3 linked regions of the Sus scrofa genome follow. The protein of the gene in region 1 purifies or fractionates together with the protein of each later gene. This does not show direct contact. Links are inferred from orthologs where the notes say so. Each region holds a gene or a part of one and is shown in the gene's direction. Other genes may lie near its edges.

Region 1 (4,685 bases):
TAAAACTTTTTTGATGAGTGAAAGGCTGTTATTTTTGCTTTTGATGATTTAGAATCTTCACAATGCTCTAGGGCAGTGGTTCTTCTTCTTCTTCTTTTTTTTTTTTTTTTTTGGTCTTTTTAGGGTGGCAGTGGTTCTTAAACTTTTGTGTACTCGCTAAAGAACACATCTCCAAAGATTCAGATTCAGTAATCAGATCATTCTGAAACTGACATTTTTAGGTAGAAGAAACAGGTCTTGGTTGGGTTGGGTATACATTAAAACATCCTAAGTTTTCATGAAATGTAGGGGCGTTCCCGTCGTGGCTCAGTGGTTAACGAATCCAACTAGGAACCATGAGGTTGGGGGTTCGATCCCTGCCCTTGCTCAGTGGGTTAAGGATCCGGCGTTGCCGCAAGCTGTGGTATAGGTTGCCGCGAGCTGTGGTATAGGTTGCAAATGTGGCTCAGATCCCGCATTGCTGTGGCTCTGGCGTAGGCCGGCAGCTATAGCTCCGATTAGACCCCTAGCCTGGGAACCTCCACATGCCTCCGGAGCAGCCCCAGGGGGGAAAATAAAATGAAATGCATGCTTCTTTTTTTTTCTTTTTATGTCCGCACCTGCAGCATATGGACGTTCCCAGGCTAGAGGTCGACTCTGAGCTGCAGCTGCAGGCCTATACCACAGCCACAAAGCAGGATCCAGGCTGCATCTTCGACCTGACTAGGCTACACAGCCTGCAGCAACGCCAGACCCTTAACCCACTGAGCGAGGCTAGGGATCAAACTCACAACCTCATGGACACTATGTCGGGTTCTTACCCTCTGAGCTACAACGGGAACTCCTCATGTAATTTATTGAATACCGTACTGAAAGTGAAAAGCAATGGTTGTATGCATACAGAACGGTTGCAACCGTATTGGCGGTTTACCCTCCTGATCCCGGCTGACTGAGAGCTGCCTCACTGTCGCTGCCCAGCGTTAGGAGTGAGTATTGTAGAGCCTATCACCACTCCTGGAAAAGATCAAAATTCAAGATTCCAAGTGCAGTTTCTACTGAATGCCTACGGTAAAGTGGAAAAATCTTAGGTCCAACAATTTTAAGTGGGGACCGTCTGTGGAAGTTTACCTGTTTTGCATTCACAGTGATAGACTTGTGCATTCTTCGGCATCTCCCTGGTAGATCCCAGAAACCAGGCACAGAAATTCAAGCAACAGACCAAGCAGGGTGACTTTGCGGCCATTAATGCACAAAAAGACTCCTACCTGGATTCAGGAAAAAGTTAAATTCATGCTTTCAGTTCTTGCATTCTGTTATTCTCTGCTCTTAAACTCTCTTTAAGAGCAGAGAATGTCCTCAGACACTTCCCTCAGGAAAAAAAAATGAACAGACCGAAGTGAACGCCAATTATTTGTGACAAGATAAAGTAAACTGCCTCCGGGCAGCATAGAAGACCGCACCAGACAGGAATTGAATGGACCTTCTCTAAAAGAGACTTTGACCCATTTCTAGGTTGGACGGGGAGTGTGGCGGGTGTGGGATCAGAAAGGGAGGAAAGGAACTTTCGATCAGCGGGAGCTGTAGGTAGAACTGAACACCCTGCGAACTGCGAGCCGCGGAGCGCCACCAGCTGGGGCAGCGCCATGCGACCAGGTGCCTCAGTTTCCCGGAGTAGAGATCCTGGGGCACCGCCCCCTGACGTCATGAGGAGGGCGTGGTCATGCGGGCCGTCAGGGGGCGCGAGCGCGGGGCGCGCTCCACTGGGGTGGGTTCGCGGGGACGAAGCGTGGCGCTGCTCGGCCGCGCGGGCCGCGCGAGGCGGAAGCCTGAGCGCGAGGCGGGAGGCTGGAGGCGGAGCCGCCGCGCTGAGTCACGCCGGATTGACCCGCCCGCCGCTTTCAGGGGCGGAGGTGACAGCGGGCCCGGGACGGGCGGCTGCAGCTGCCTGCCGCGCGGAGGAACCGCCGGGCGGCGGAGAGCAAGTCAGGGGCCGAGCCGGGTCGCTGTCCCGGGCAGCGGACAGAGGGGACCCGCGCCCTGAAGGACGCACCGCGCGACCCGGCCTGCGCCGCCCCTGCCCCGCTGCGGCTGCTGCCCAGCCCGGAGCCCCGGAGGGGCGGTGGGACGCCGGGCCCTCGTCGGAGTCCTTCGCTCCAGGTCAGTCGGGCCCTGGGAGGCGCCAGGGAGTTGGAGAGGCCGGGTGGCCGGCGGTTCGAGGGATGCAGACGTGGGCTTTGTAAATGGTGTCAAGCAGGCACAGGGCTCTTTTCACTGCACCGCCCTGCCACTCCGGCAATGAGGCGGAATTTGAGAGCTGGGGAAAAAAAAAAAAAAAAAAAAAAACCCACAACAAAAATCCAGTATTAGTCCAGCCCCCGTATTTTACAGATGAAGAAATTCTTTTGGCGTGCACAGAGTCACTTTCAGTCGGTATGGGAGTGCGTGATTCTGTGTCTAGGAGGCAAGGGGGGATGGTTTCCGAAGCAAGAGTAAGACCTGTTTGGCTAGAGATGCAAGTTTGGTGATGGTGGAGTTTTGTACCCTTACATTCCTTCCGCAGGTACTGATTGATGTTCACCAGGCATCAATTTCTCAAAGCATTTAACCTTGAAAAGGCTGTCGATGCTGTCGAATAAAGGAATATTGGGGTGCAAACAAACCAAGTCTGCTGCAAATTAGGCGCTATGGAGAATGCTTGGAGTATAAAGTTAAATTTTAAATAAGGGGGAAAAAAACCCACTTTTAATCTCATTATCCCTTATTGTCTGTCTCCTTTATATAATAAAGGGCACTCAACATTATTCTGTAATATTAGTAATTAGTCTTTAGGTGTAAATTACTTTGCAGTAATTCCTTTATAGTAATATGAGCATCTTGTGTTGAAACACTTTCTTTTCATAATCAATGATGCTGTGGTGTGTGGCAAGCCAGTGGTAGCACTAATATTTAGCGTTTGAGTGTAGTTTAGCTCCACCGTTTGTATAGCTGAAATTACAGGACTGATGAGTCCATAGTTGTATATGGGAGAGTGAAGTACCTGCCAGCATACAGGTGTAGTTTCTCAGAGTTGGTGCTGCATTTATTGCTCTCACAGCACTGAATAGATTCCAGGTGATGAGCAAGTTAGTTTAGTTTAATCTCTCAGCACCTGTTTCTCTCTACATTCCTGAATTAAAGGGTCACTTCCTTCCACCTCGAAAGTTCTCTGATTTTACATGTTAATTTGAAACACTCGTCACTCATTGTGACAATAATGCAAAGTTTTGAGAAAATAAGTTTTTTAAAAAAATTCTGCATCATGCATGGTGAATCTTCAAATTCACTGTTACTGTTAACCCTCCCTTTATCAGTGTTGAGCTAACATAACTGAAAAGAGGTTTTTCAAATTACTTCAGTGTTAAATTCACTAAATTCAGAGACTGGAATGGAGTACTTTGTGTATAACGGAGAATAGCTAAAATCTAGCCTGGGAATGAGGTCTGTGCAGTGCATAGATAACTTTTGCAATAAGCCGAGAACATTCTGCCTCAAAAATGTGATAAGATGTCTTTTATACAGTGTTCATATTGTGTGTATTTTCCACTGAGATATGATAATAATCTGCATAGACAACCGGTCCAAATACATAAAAAGATATTTTGTCTTGAAGCCCCAAAGTAGAGCCTTTATAAGCCTCTGGTTTCTTCTTTTCTGGCTCCTTCCTTCCTAGTGCCCCTCTTACCTGCTGGAGACCTTTTCACGTTTGTCTTTCATCCACATCGAAATTCAGAGCCTCTTTCAAGCACTGGTTAAATTTACACTACTTTTTCTCATCTTAAAGTACATGATAAATCATAATTCTTGAATCACCATTTAGGATCTCTTAAAAACTAAGGGTGGGTATTCATTTTGTGAACATAGTGCAAGACTCTGAGGCTATAAATTGCAATGTGGAAACCCTGAAGAAGGTTAAGCGGAATGTGTTTAGATTTTTATCCTCATTAAACTTGGAGACTGCTATCCAGGAAGCCTCCAGAGCCAGTAAACTCATTTATCTCTGTCTCAGAAGGAAAGCCTTTCTGCAGGACGCATAGTGAATCTTCAAATTCTTCTCAGACCTCCCAGTCAGTCGATCAGGGTTGGGCTTAAATAAGCGAAAAGTGATTTCTCAAATTTCAGACACTTAAGTGATTTTTTTCAAATCATAGATATTTTTAAAATTTGGAGACTTCCTTTTTTTTTTTTTTTTTTTTTAAATGGCTGCACCTTCAGCTTGTGGAAGTTCCCAGGCCAGGGATTAGATCTGAGCAACAGCTGCAACCTGTGCCACAGCTGTGGCAACACCAGATCCTTAACCCATTGTACCACAGTGGGAACTCCCTTGAGACCTTTTTTTAAATGATAAAAGCAATTAAACAAGAATACAAATGCCTGCTGGCAGGTATAAGTCTTGAATTATTTTCTAGGTTTCTTATTCTGTTGTTTCTAAAGTCAGTTAAGGTATTACCTATATCACAGCATTATTACAAAATGATTTGCTCTGAAATTTTCAATTGTGCCTGATCTTCAGCTGAAGCATCCTGAAAATTTGCAGAATATTATGAAAAATTTTAAACATGAATGTAAGATTAATTTTTTATTATGCCTCACGTAGGAAAACATGTGAATAAACTAATTTTCAAGGTTGGATAACGTAGTCGTGCGGGCAGGAGTGGACTGTATCAGTC
Region 2 (3,900 bases), on another chromosome or scaffold:
ATCTTTTGTTTTTAATTGTTCCTTGGTACTGGCTAAATTGATAGATGAAATTTATGTAGCCATGGAGAGAAATTCCAATCTATAGATACAAATGTCTAAATTTAAAACCTTACGGAGTTCCCTTTGTGCTGCAGTGGAAACGAATCTGACTAGGAACCATGAGGTTGCGGGTTCAATCCCTGGCCTCACTCAGTGGGTTAAGGATCCGGCATTGCCGTGAGCTGTGATGTGGGTCACAGACGCGGCTCACATCCAGCATTGCTGTGGCTGTGGCATAGGCCAGCAGCTGTAGCTCCAATTAGACCCCTAGCCTGGGAACCTCTATGTGCTGCAGGTGCAGCCCTAAAAAGCAAAACAAAAAAAACAAAAAACAAAAAAACACCTTATCACTGATAATAAGTAGAAATGGAATATAATCTTTAAAAATGGTGAATCACTATATTGTACATTTGTAACTTACCTAATGTCACCCATACATCAATACAAAAAGAAAATAGAGTCACTTCATTAAAAAAGCAGCTGTATCCCTCAAATCCCTGTACTCACAGAGAGGGCATCTACAGGATGAGGTCCTTGAAGAGAGTTATTGGGTCAAAAGATGGTATCCAATTGGAGCAGCCAAAGAAATCCTGAGGCCTGACCCCCAGCACTTGGGGAAGCAGCCAGGTCCTTCAGAGCTGTGCGTGCCTCCCCTCCCCCAGCTCTAATGGCCTTGCACTCTGGTTTCCCTCCCAGTGTTGAACCTGACCCTCATCGACCTGCCGGGCATCACCAAGGTGCCCGTGGGGGACCAGCCCCCAGACATCGAGTACCAGATCAAGGACATGATCCTGCAGTTCATCAGCCGGGAGAGCAGCCTCATCCTCGCCGTCACCCCCGCCAACATGGACCTGGCCAACTCGGACGCCCTCAAGCTGGCCAAGGAGGTCGACCCTCAAGGTACCCACGCCCATGGGGCCCCATAGCAGGAGCTACCCCTTCCCAGCCCCTGAGGGCACTGTGACTTGCCTTGTACTCTTGATTCCACATCACAGGTGATCTCTTTGGCACATGACCTCCTCAGGAAAAGGCCTGGGACATAGCATTTCTCAGGAGGGCCAACAGTTCAGGAGTTGGGGGGCATCCCCCGGGAGGCCATCCATCGTGTGACAGTTGGCATTCTTCCTTAGATGCGGTGATCTCTGCTTCGCTTGGGCAGAAAGCTAGTCTGGGGGGTTGGGTGGGGAAGGGCACAGCCTTCCCTGGATGCAGATATGAGTCCAGATCCTCTAGAAGTTACTTATCCCCCCTGAGGCTGGGTCCCTTCTGTGGAAACAGGAACAGGAGTCCTAACTTGTGGAGCTGCTGAGAGGGCAGGTGAGCTCTCAGTAACTGCTCAGGGGCCAGGCCATGAGGGAGAGAGGATGACGAGTTCACGAAATAAGTTGGGGCAGTAGGAATGAGTGCAGACTCTGGCATCTATGTCCCAGGGGGTTCTGGGTCAAACTTGGCCAGTGGTCATTCATTCAGGAAATGTCAGTTAAGCCCCTGCTGCAGGCCAGGCTTTGTTTCAGCCTTGGGAACCCCATAGGGGACAAAATTGATGGCAGGGCCCTGCCACCGGTGAGCTGCTATTCCATGGTGAGACAGAATCCAGCAAGGAAATAAGCCTCTCCAGGTAGTGGTAAGCACTGGAGGGAAATGGAGCCCTTTGAGAGATGCTGGAATGGAAGGGGGGCTGTCACCAGCCTCTGAGGATATGAGGTTTTAGACAAGACCAGAATGATGAAAAGAGGCAAAATCCGGGAAAATGGGCAGTGGATGCTCAACAGATGCCCAGGAGGAGCTCTTTTGTGACACAGGGGGTTAAGGATCTGGTGCAGTCACTGCAGTGCCTTGGGTCATCCACTGTGGTGCCAGTTCGATCCCTGGCCCGGAAACATCCGCATGCTGTGGGGTGCAGTCAAGGAATATTTTCAAAATAAGGAGGTGCCCAGGACACAACAGGGAGGCCAGTGTGCCAGACCAGAGTGAGCAAAGGGAGGGCAGAGGAGTTGAGGCCCTGGAGTGGCCACGGCTGGTCAAGCAGGCCGTGGGGGCTGCAGTGGGAAGCTGGGTGTGTTCTGAAAGTGGTGGGGGTTTAGCAGAGGATGACACACACTGCAATACATTTCCCAAATTGTCTTCCAGCTGCCTGGATCCCATAGTGTTTTGGAAGGAGTTGGGGGAGACGGGCTCTGTGGCTCACACTCCCCAATTTGCAGGCCTGGGGAGCAGTAGGCAAAGGTGGCTCCTTTCCAGCCCTGGACTGCAAGCCCCTCAAGAGTTCAGGGCTCTGCCGGCTCCTTCCCAAGGTCTTCTAGGTGCGCTTTCCTGAGAGGGGCCACCCCTGCCCACAGCCCCCTCAACCTTCCTGTCCCCCCACCCTGTTTTGTCCCAGGAAATGGAATGTGCCTGTGACAAAGACTCCATAGAGGCTAGATCAGGCGGTGAGTAAGTGGGGGTGCATACAGTCAAGCACCGTTTGTGAACTGGATGCTGGCATTCTTCCGAAAAAAGTATCATTCTAACTTCGAAAATATTCATCATTATTACTCCCAGATGTCACTATTGTAAAATACGAAAACCTAAAATGTGGCAGCACCTCTCCCCCTGCAGATACTGGTGGCCATTCTTGGCAAATTTTCTTTCAGACTTTGTTCTTCCACATAAACTCAACATTTGTAGAAATAGGGTGATGGTTCCTCTTTTTCTGTTCTGTGGGTGTGCTTACCTTTTACCATAGGGACATACACCCGTAGCCATCCTCCTGGCTGCCCACTGCTGCCTTTTCTTTGTTCTTGAAATTAGGGTTGTTTCTGACCTTTCAGGAACAATGCTCTAGTGAGGTTGGCCATTTCCAGCAGAGTCGATGCCCCAGAGCCACTCCCCGGTCACATCCTTCTACCTTGGGCTGCCTCTCCCCTCTCCTGCCCCAGCCTGAGGCATCGGTGTTCATAGCCGTGGCTCCTTTGCCCTCCAGAAAGGTGATGCCCGCTCACAGCAGAATGTGAGCAGGCGCGGGCTCCAGGGAGGGCATGGCCATCTCCCCATCGACGCCCATCTAAGCACCCACTGGAGATCTCCTGGGTCTCTCTGTCCTCTGTGTGTATGTCACACACAGATACATGTGTATGCCTGCAACTAGCACAGGGGAGCCCTTGAGCATCAGCAAGGACAGTTGATCCTCAGGCTCCCCTTGATTCTGGGCAGCTTGGGACAAAGAGGAATTCCACAGGGTGGTTTCCAGAGCGGAAGTTTGGCCAGTGACATGAGAGGTATCCCGAGAAACAGTCGTCATGGGTCCGCATGTTCCATTGGCACCCTGCCCGCCACTCAGCACAGCACAGCATGGAGACTCTGAGCCGGGGTTCGTGTTTAGTCAGGTCGCCCTCTGATGATACCTGAACCAGATGCCGTCCCTGGTCGTGCCAACGACAGTGACAGTGGCCAGCGTTGATTGATTGAACTTTTGCCAAGTGCCAGGTTTATCCTTATGGACCACCCCCTGAGATCAGTGCATTGTCAAATGTCCTCATTTGACATGAGGATCCAGGCAGGCGATGTTATGGCTTGTCCCAGGTGGCACAGCCTGGAAGTGGGAAGCCCAACTGGACCCCAGGTAGCCCGGGGTCACCAGCCTGTGCTCATTCCTCATGGCCCTCTGACCTCTGCTCTTTCAGGCCTGCGGACCATTGGCGTCATCACCAAGCTTGACCTGATGGACGAAGGCACTGATGCCAGGGATGTCCTGGAGAACAAGCTGCTCCCCTTGAGAAGAGGTGCGGGGGTAGGGGGTGTGCCTGGGGGCCACAGGGTGGGCAAGATGGGTGAGCTTGAGCAGCAGGAATGCTGGGGCACCCTGGCTACTGGAAAACTATT
Region 3 (3,900 bases), about 100 Mb from region 1:
GAGGCCAGGGATCGAACCTGCAACCTCATGGTTCCTAGTCGGATTTGTTTTCGCTGCGCCACGAAGGGAACTCCCAACATGTATTTTTGAATGAGCAACGAGCTGCCTGCCTGCAGCTCCCAGGAACTGCCCGTCTCCAACCCAGCCGTGTCTGGCAGGTTTGGCAGTGTCTTCCCGAGCCTCAACATGGCGGTGAAACGGCGGGAGCAGGCCTTGCAGGACTACAGGAGGCTGCAGGCCAAGGTGGAGAAGTATGAGGAGAAGGAGAAGACGGGGCCGGTGCTGGCCAAGCTCCACCAGGTACCAGGGAGAAGGGGCTGGGGGTGGACAGGGCCACGGGGTACCAGGCAGCAAGTTCCTCCTTCCCCGGGAGACGCTGGGCTAGCCAGAAAGAGCTGCGACACCCAGGGTCTGCCCCCCAGGCCCGGGAAGAGCTCCGGCCCGTGCGGGACGACTTTGAGGCCAAGAACAAGCAGCTCCTGGATGAGATGCCACGGTTCTACAACAGCCGCCTGGACTACTTCCAACCCAGCTTCGAGTCCCTGATCCGCGCACAGGTAAGGCCCTGCCCTGCCCCCCAGGATGGCCCAGCCGCTCTTCCCTGGGGAGACAGTCACCGGCTTTGAAGACCCATCTCATGCCTGCCCAGCCCCACTCCCCACACCTGAGGTGGCTTTGCCACCCTCTGCGAAGGACATCGCCATCCCTGCCCTCAGCACCCACCCCTGAGGGCTCCCCGGTTGTTGGGTGGGATTCCTGTGTTGGTTCCTACTGGCTGCTGTGGTTAAATCCCAGCCTTAGGATGGGAGTGGAGAGCTCTTCCACTCGCCCTCTGCAGCAGGAAAAACCAGCTGCGCCCCCAGCACCTCACCCTTTGCCTGGTGTCAAGGATGAGGACAGGGGCCAAGGGTGACGGCTCTTTTCTGACGACCCTGCATCCCGCTCCCTTCCCTAGTCAGCCCTTTTCTTTTGATGGAAGACTAGACCCCTTGGAGGGGGTCCCTAAATCCTGGAGAGAGCCTTGCTCAGCGCCCCCGCCTGGGCACCAGGCTGTAGTGCATCTTCCAGTGGAAAGGCAGGCTGGGCTGAGGCTGGACGTGGGTGGGACGCAGCAGTAGCACTGAGGCCAAGACCCTGCCTCCTCCTACTCCAGGGTGTAAGGACAGTGTGGGGTCAGGTGTCGCTCCTGCCCTCCCCCAACCCCATTCAAGCCATTAGCAGAGATTACTCTACTCTCCCTGTTTGTAAAAGAGAAAGACTTGAGGTGCCAAAACCAAGAGGTCTCTCCTCCTCATGGGACCCACACCCACACCCCTCTGGCAGGGGGCTGCAGGTGCGCAGCATCCTGCCGCCTTCCCCACCTGGAAGGCTCAACGTCCCCATACACCTCCAGCCCACCTCTGCGCTTGGCCTGGGTATCTGGCGCCCTCCAGTGGACACTGTCGTTCTTGCAGAGTCCACGGTCACAGATTCTAGGAAAACCCTGATTGCTAGCTCCCAGCTGCGTCTCTGGAGAACACCAAAACCCATGGGGCTGCACACTTGGGATCAGGAACCCTTCGCAGGATTGATGTTGGAGCTAGGACTTGTTAGTGACCGTGTCCCCAGTGTCTCAGGGAAAACGAGGCAGAGCTTAGTGCGTAGGGGTGTGGAATGTTCCCACACTCGCCCCCACAGCACTGCCCCTGGAGGTACGGGCTTCCTTCCAGCAGCTTCACCCTGGGCTGGGGAGGGAATGTGTTTACGGAGACCCATGCCTTCGCTCTCTGTGCTGTCACCGTGCTGTTCCCAGCCCCCCAGCCACCTGCCCTGCCCCCTCCACCCTGTTGCTCAGAGCACAGGAGGAAGCCCCAGGGTGCCCAGGTTGGGAGTCTGGGATGCCCTATAACCAGGCAGAGGGTTGGGGGGTTGTTTACTGCTTCATCCATGCCAGCCTCCCCCTCCCGTGGCTGCTGCTGCCATTAGTCACTGGAGAAGTGAGCATTCCTAGTGACTCAGCCTGGCGGTGCAGCTCAGGGCAGAGAGCTGGGGGAGGTGGGCCATCCTCTTCCCTCCCCAGCACCAGCCCAGCCCCCATCCCCTCAGGTGACAACATTTGGAGACCTTGACTCAGCTCCCCTTCAGCCCAGTGGAAACCTAGCTGTGCGAGTGTGGAAGACATGGCCTTGCTTTCCATTAATAGCACTCGAAGTTTCTAGAGAAGGAAAGTTCCTTCTTCCCAGAGACAACTTGGAGCTGGAGATGGTAAAATCTAGGGCTGTTTGTTTGATAGTGTGGAATACTTTCTTCTAAGTGCACACTTTTGTTTAGTCATGAGGTAAAGACTGAGCAAGAAATGGCTCCTGCCCTCGCAAAGCCCTGCCCTGCACCTGCTCAGCGAGCCGCCTCACTCCCGTGGGCCTCGCCATCCCACCTCTGGTGCCTGCGCACAAGGAAACCTGGAAATGAGCCTGGCCTCTGGGCCCTGCTTTCCTGGCTCTGCAGCTTAGGCAGTGATGAACGATGGGATGAGTTGGGAAGGCACAGAGGTTAGGACCATGTCACCTCTCTCACCTTTTTTTCTTTTTTTTTCCTCCTGTCTGTTTAGGGCTACACATGCGGCATATGGAAGCTCCCAATCAAGGGGGTCCACTCAGAGTCGCAGCTGTCAGCCTACACCACAGCCACAGCAACGGGGGATCTGAGCCGCACCTGTGACCTACGCTGCAGCTCAGGGCAACGCCAGATCCTTAAGCCACTGAGCGAGGCCAGGGATCAAACCTGCAACCTCATGGGTACCAGTCAGGTTCGTTGCCACTGAGCCACAACAGGAAGTCCCTCACCTTTACATCTAAGACTGCCTCCCAGGGCTTTGGGAGCTGCAGTGCCCCCGTCCCGTGGCCATAAGCTTCTCCTAGCCTCTGTAAAGCAGCCCCCGTCACACTGCCTGACTCCCTAATCGCCGCCCCCCCAGCCCTCACCCCTCAGCTGCTTGTTAAGCTCAGAGGGCAGAGCCCCACCTCCACCTCACCGAGGACCTGTTGCTCCCTTCCCGCAGGCATACCACCACCCAGGAGTGGGCAGTGAGTGTTCCGGAAGGGCTTGGGGCTTTGGCTGCCCTGCAGGTCTGGGAGATGGCCTGAGGGGAAGGGTGGTGGTGGAGGGCAAAGTGGAATCCAGCCCCTTCACTCGGCCCTGTGCTCTGCTGGAGGGGACAGCAGCAGGCCAGCTGCCCAGGGGTGTGGTATGGGGGGCTTGGTGCCCCGGAGCCCAGCACCTGCCACCCTCCTCTCACCTCCCATTCCAGGTCGTGTACTACTCGGAAATGCACAAGATCTTTGGAGACCTGACCCAGCAGCTCGACCAGCCTGGCCACACTGACGAGCAGCGGGAGCGGGAGAACGAGGCCAGGCTGAGCGAGCTCAGGGCCCTCTCCATCGTGGCCGATGACTGAGCCCAGGCCTCAGAGGACCCCCGGCACACGAGTCAGCCGCTAGTCTGCCCTTCTCAAACTTAGGCTCGGGCGTCAGCCAGCAAAGGGCCCTTCCCTGGGAGAAGTTTGGGGATGGCAACGACTCCCACTCCACCTCCCCAGCCCTTGGGAATGAGCCTGGCACCAGGAACCCCAAGCAGGCTGCCGTCTCCCCACCCGTAGCAAGAGCCCAGACAGGTAAGCAGTGTAGACTGTCTTAGTTCCTAAGGAACTGTCCAAAGTGCATCCAAACCTAGGGCCAGAGCATGGGCTTTGCTCCCTTGAGGTCTTAGCCTGGCTTGCACAGTTGGGGTCACATCTACCTCCAGAAGGGCCACCTGGGGGAGTCACCCACCCTCATTGCCTTTCCACCTCAGACTCCCCTTTGCTGGGAGAAGCCTGTGACATTGCCCTGGGAACAGTGAGAGCCGTGGTCTCCCAGCCCCGCA

Evidence for each region.
Region 2: the proteins of dynamin-binding protein (region 1) and DNM2 purify together in Homo sapiens (co-immunoprecipitation; 3 studies listed by BioGRID and IntAct, with this or other methods). This does not show direct contact. The link is inferred for Sus scrofa from reciprocal best matches to the Homo sapiens genes DNMBP and DNM2.
Region 3: the proteins of dynamin-binding protein (region 1) and BIN3 purify together in Homo sapiens (co-immunoprecipitation; 5 studies listed by BioGRID and IntAct, counting the BioPlex papers as one, with this or other methods). This does not show direct contact. The link is inferred for Sus scrofa from reciprocal best matches to the Homo sapiens genes DNMBP and BIN3.

What each region holds. Positions count from the first base shown.
Region 1 is NC_010456.5:111,164,377-111,169,061, reverse strand, and holds the start of dynamin-binding protein, read left to right. Parts: upstream 1-1,762; 5' UTR 1,763-2,136; intron 2,137-4,685. UniProt on the Homo sapiens protein: Plays a critical role as a guanine nucleotide exchange factor (GEF) for CDC42 in several intracellular processes associated with the actin and microtubule cytoskeleton.
Region 2 is NC_010444.4:69,522,321-69,526,220, forward strand, and holds part of DNM2 (dynamin-2), read left to right. Parts: intron 1-735; coding exon 736-939; intron 940-3,701; coding exon 3,702-3,800; intron 3,801-3,900. UniProt on the Homo sapiens protein: Catalyzes the hydrolysis of GTP and utilizes this energy to mediate vesicle scission at plasma membrane during endocytosis and filament remodeling at many actin structures during organization of the actin cytoskeleton.
Region 3 is NC_010456.5:6,874,742-6,878,641, reverse strand, and holds part of BIN3 (bridging integrator 3), read left to right. Parts: intron 1-158; coding exon 159-300; intron 301-422; coding exon 423-557; intron 558-2,085; coding exon of another isoform or gene 2,086-2,292; exon of another isoform or gene 2,293-2,581; intron 2,582-2,587; coding exon 2,588-2,785; intron 2,786-3,037; coding exon 3,038-3,062; intron 3,063-3,286; coding exon 3,287-3,360; coding exon of another isoform or gene 3,361-3,433; 3' UTR 3,434-3,900. UniProt on the Homo sapiens protein: Involved in cytokinesis and septation where it has a role in the localization of F-actin.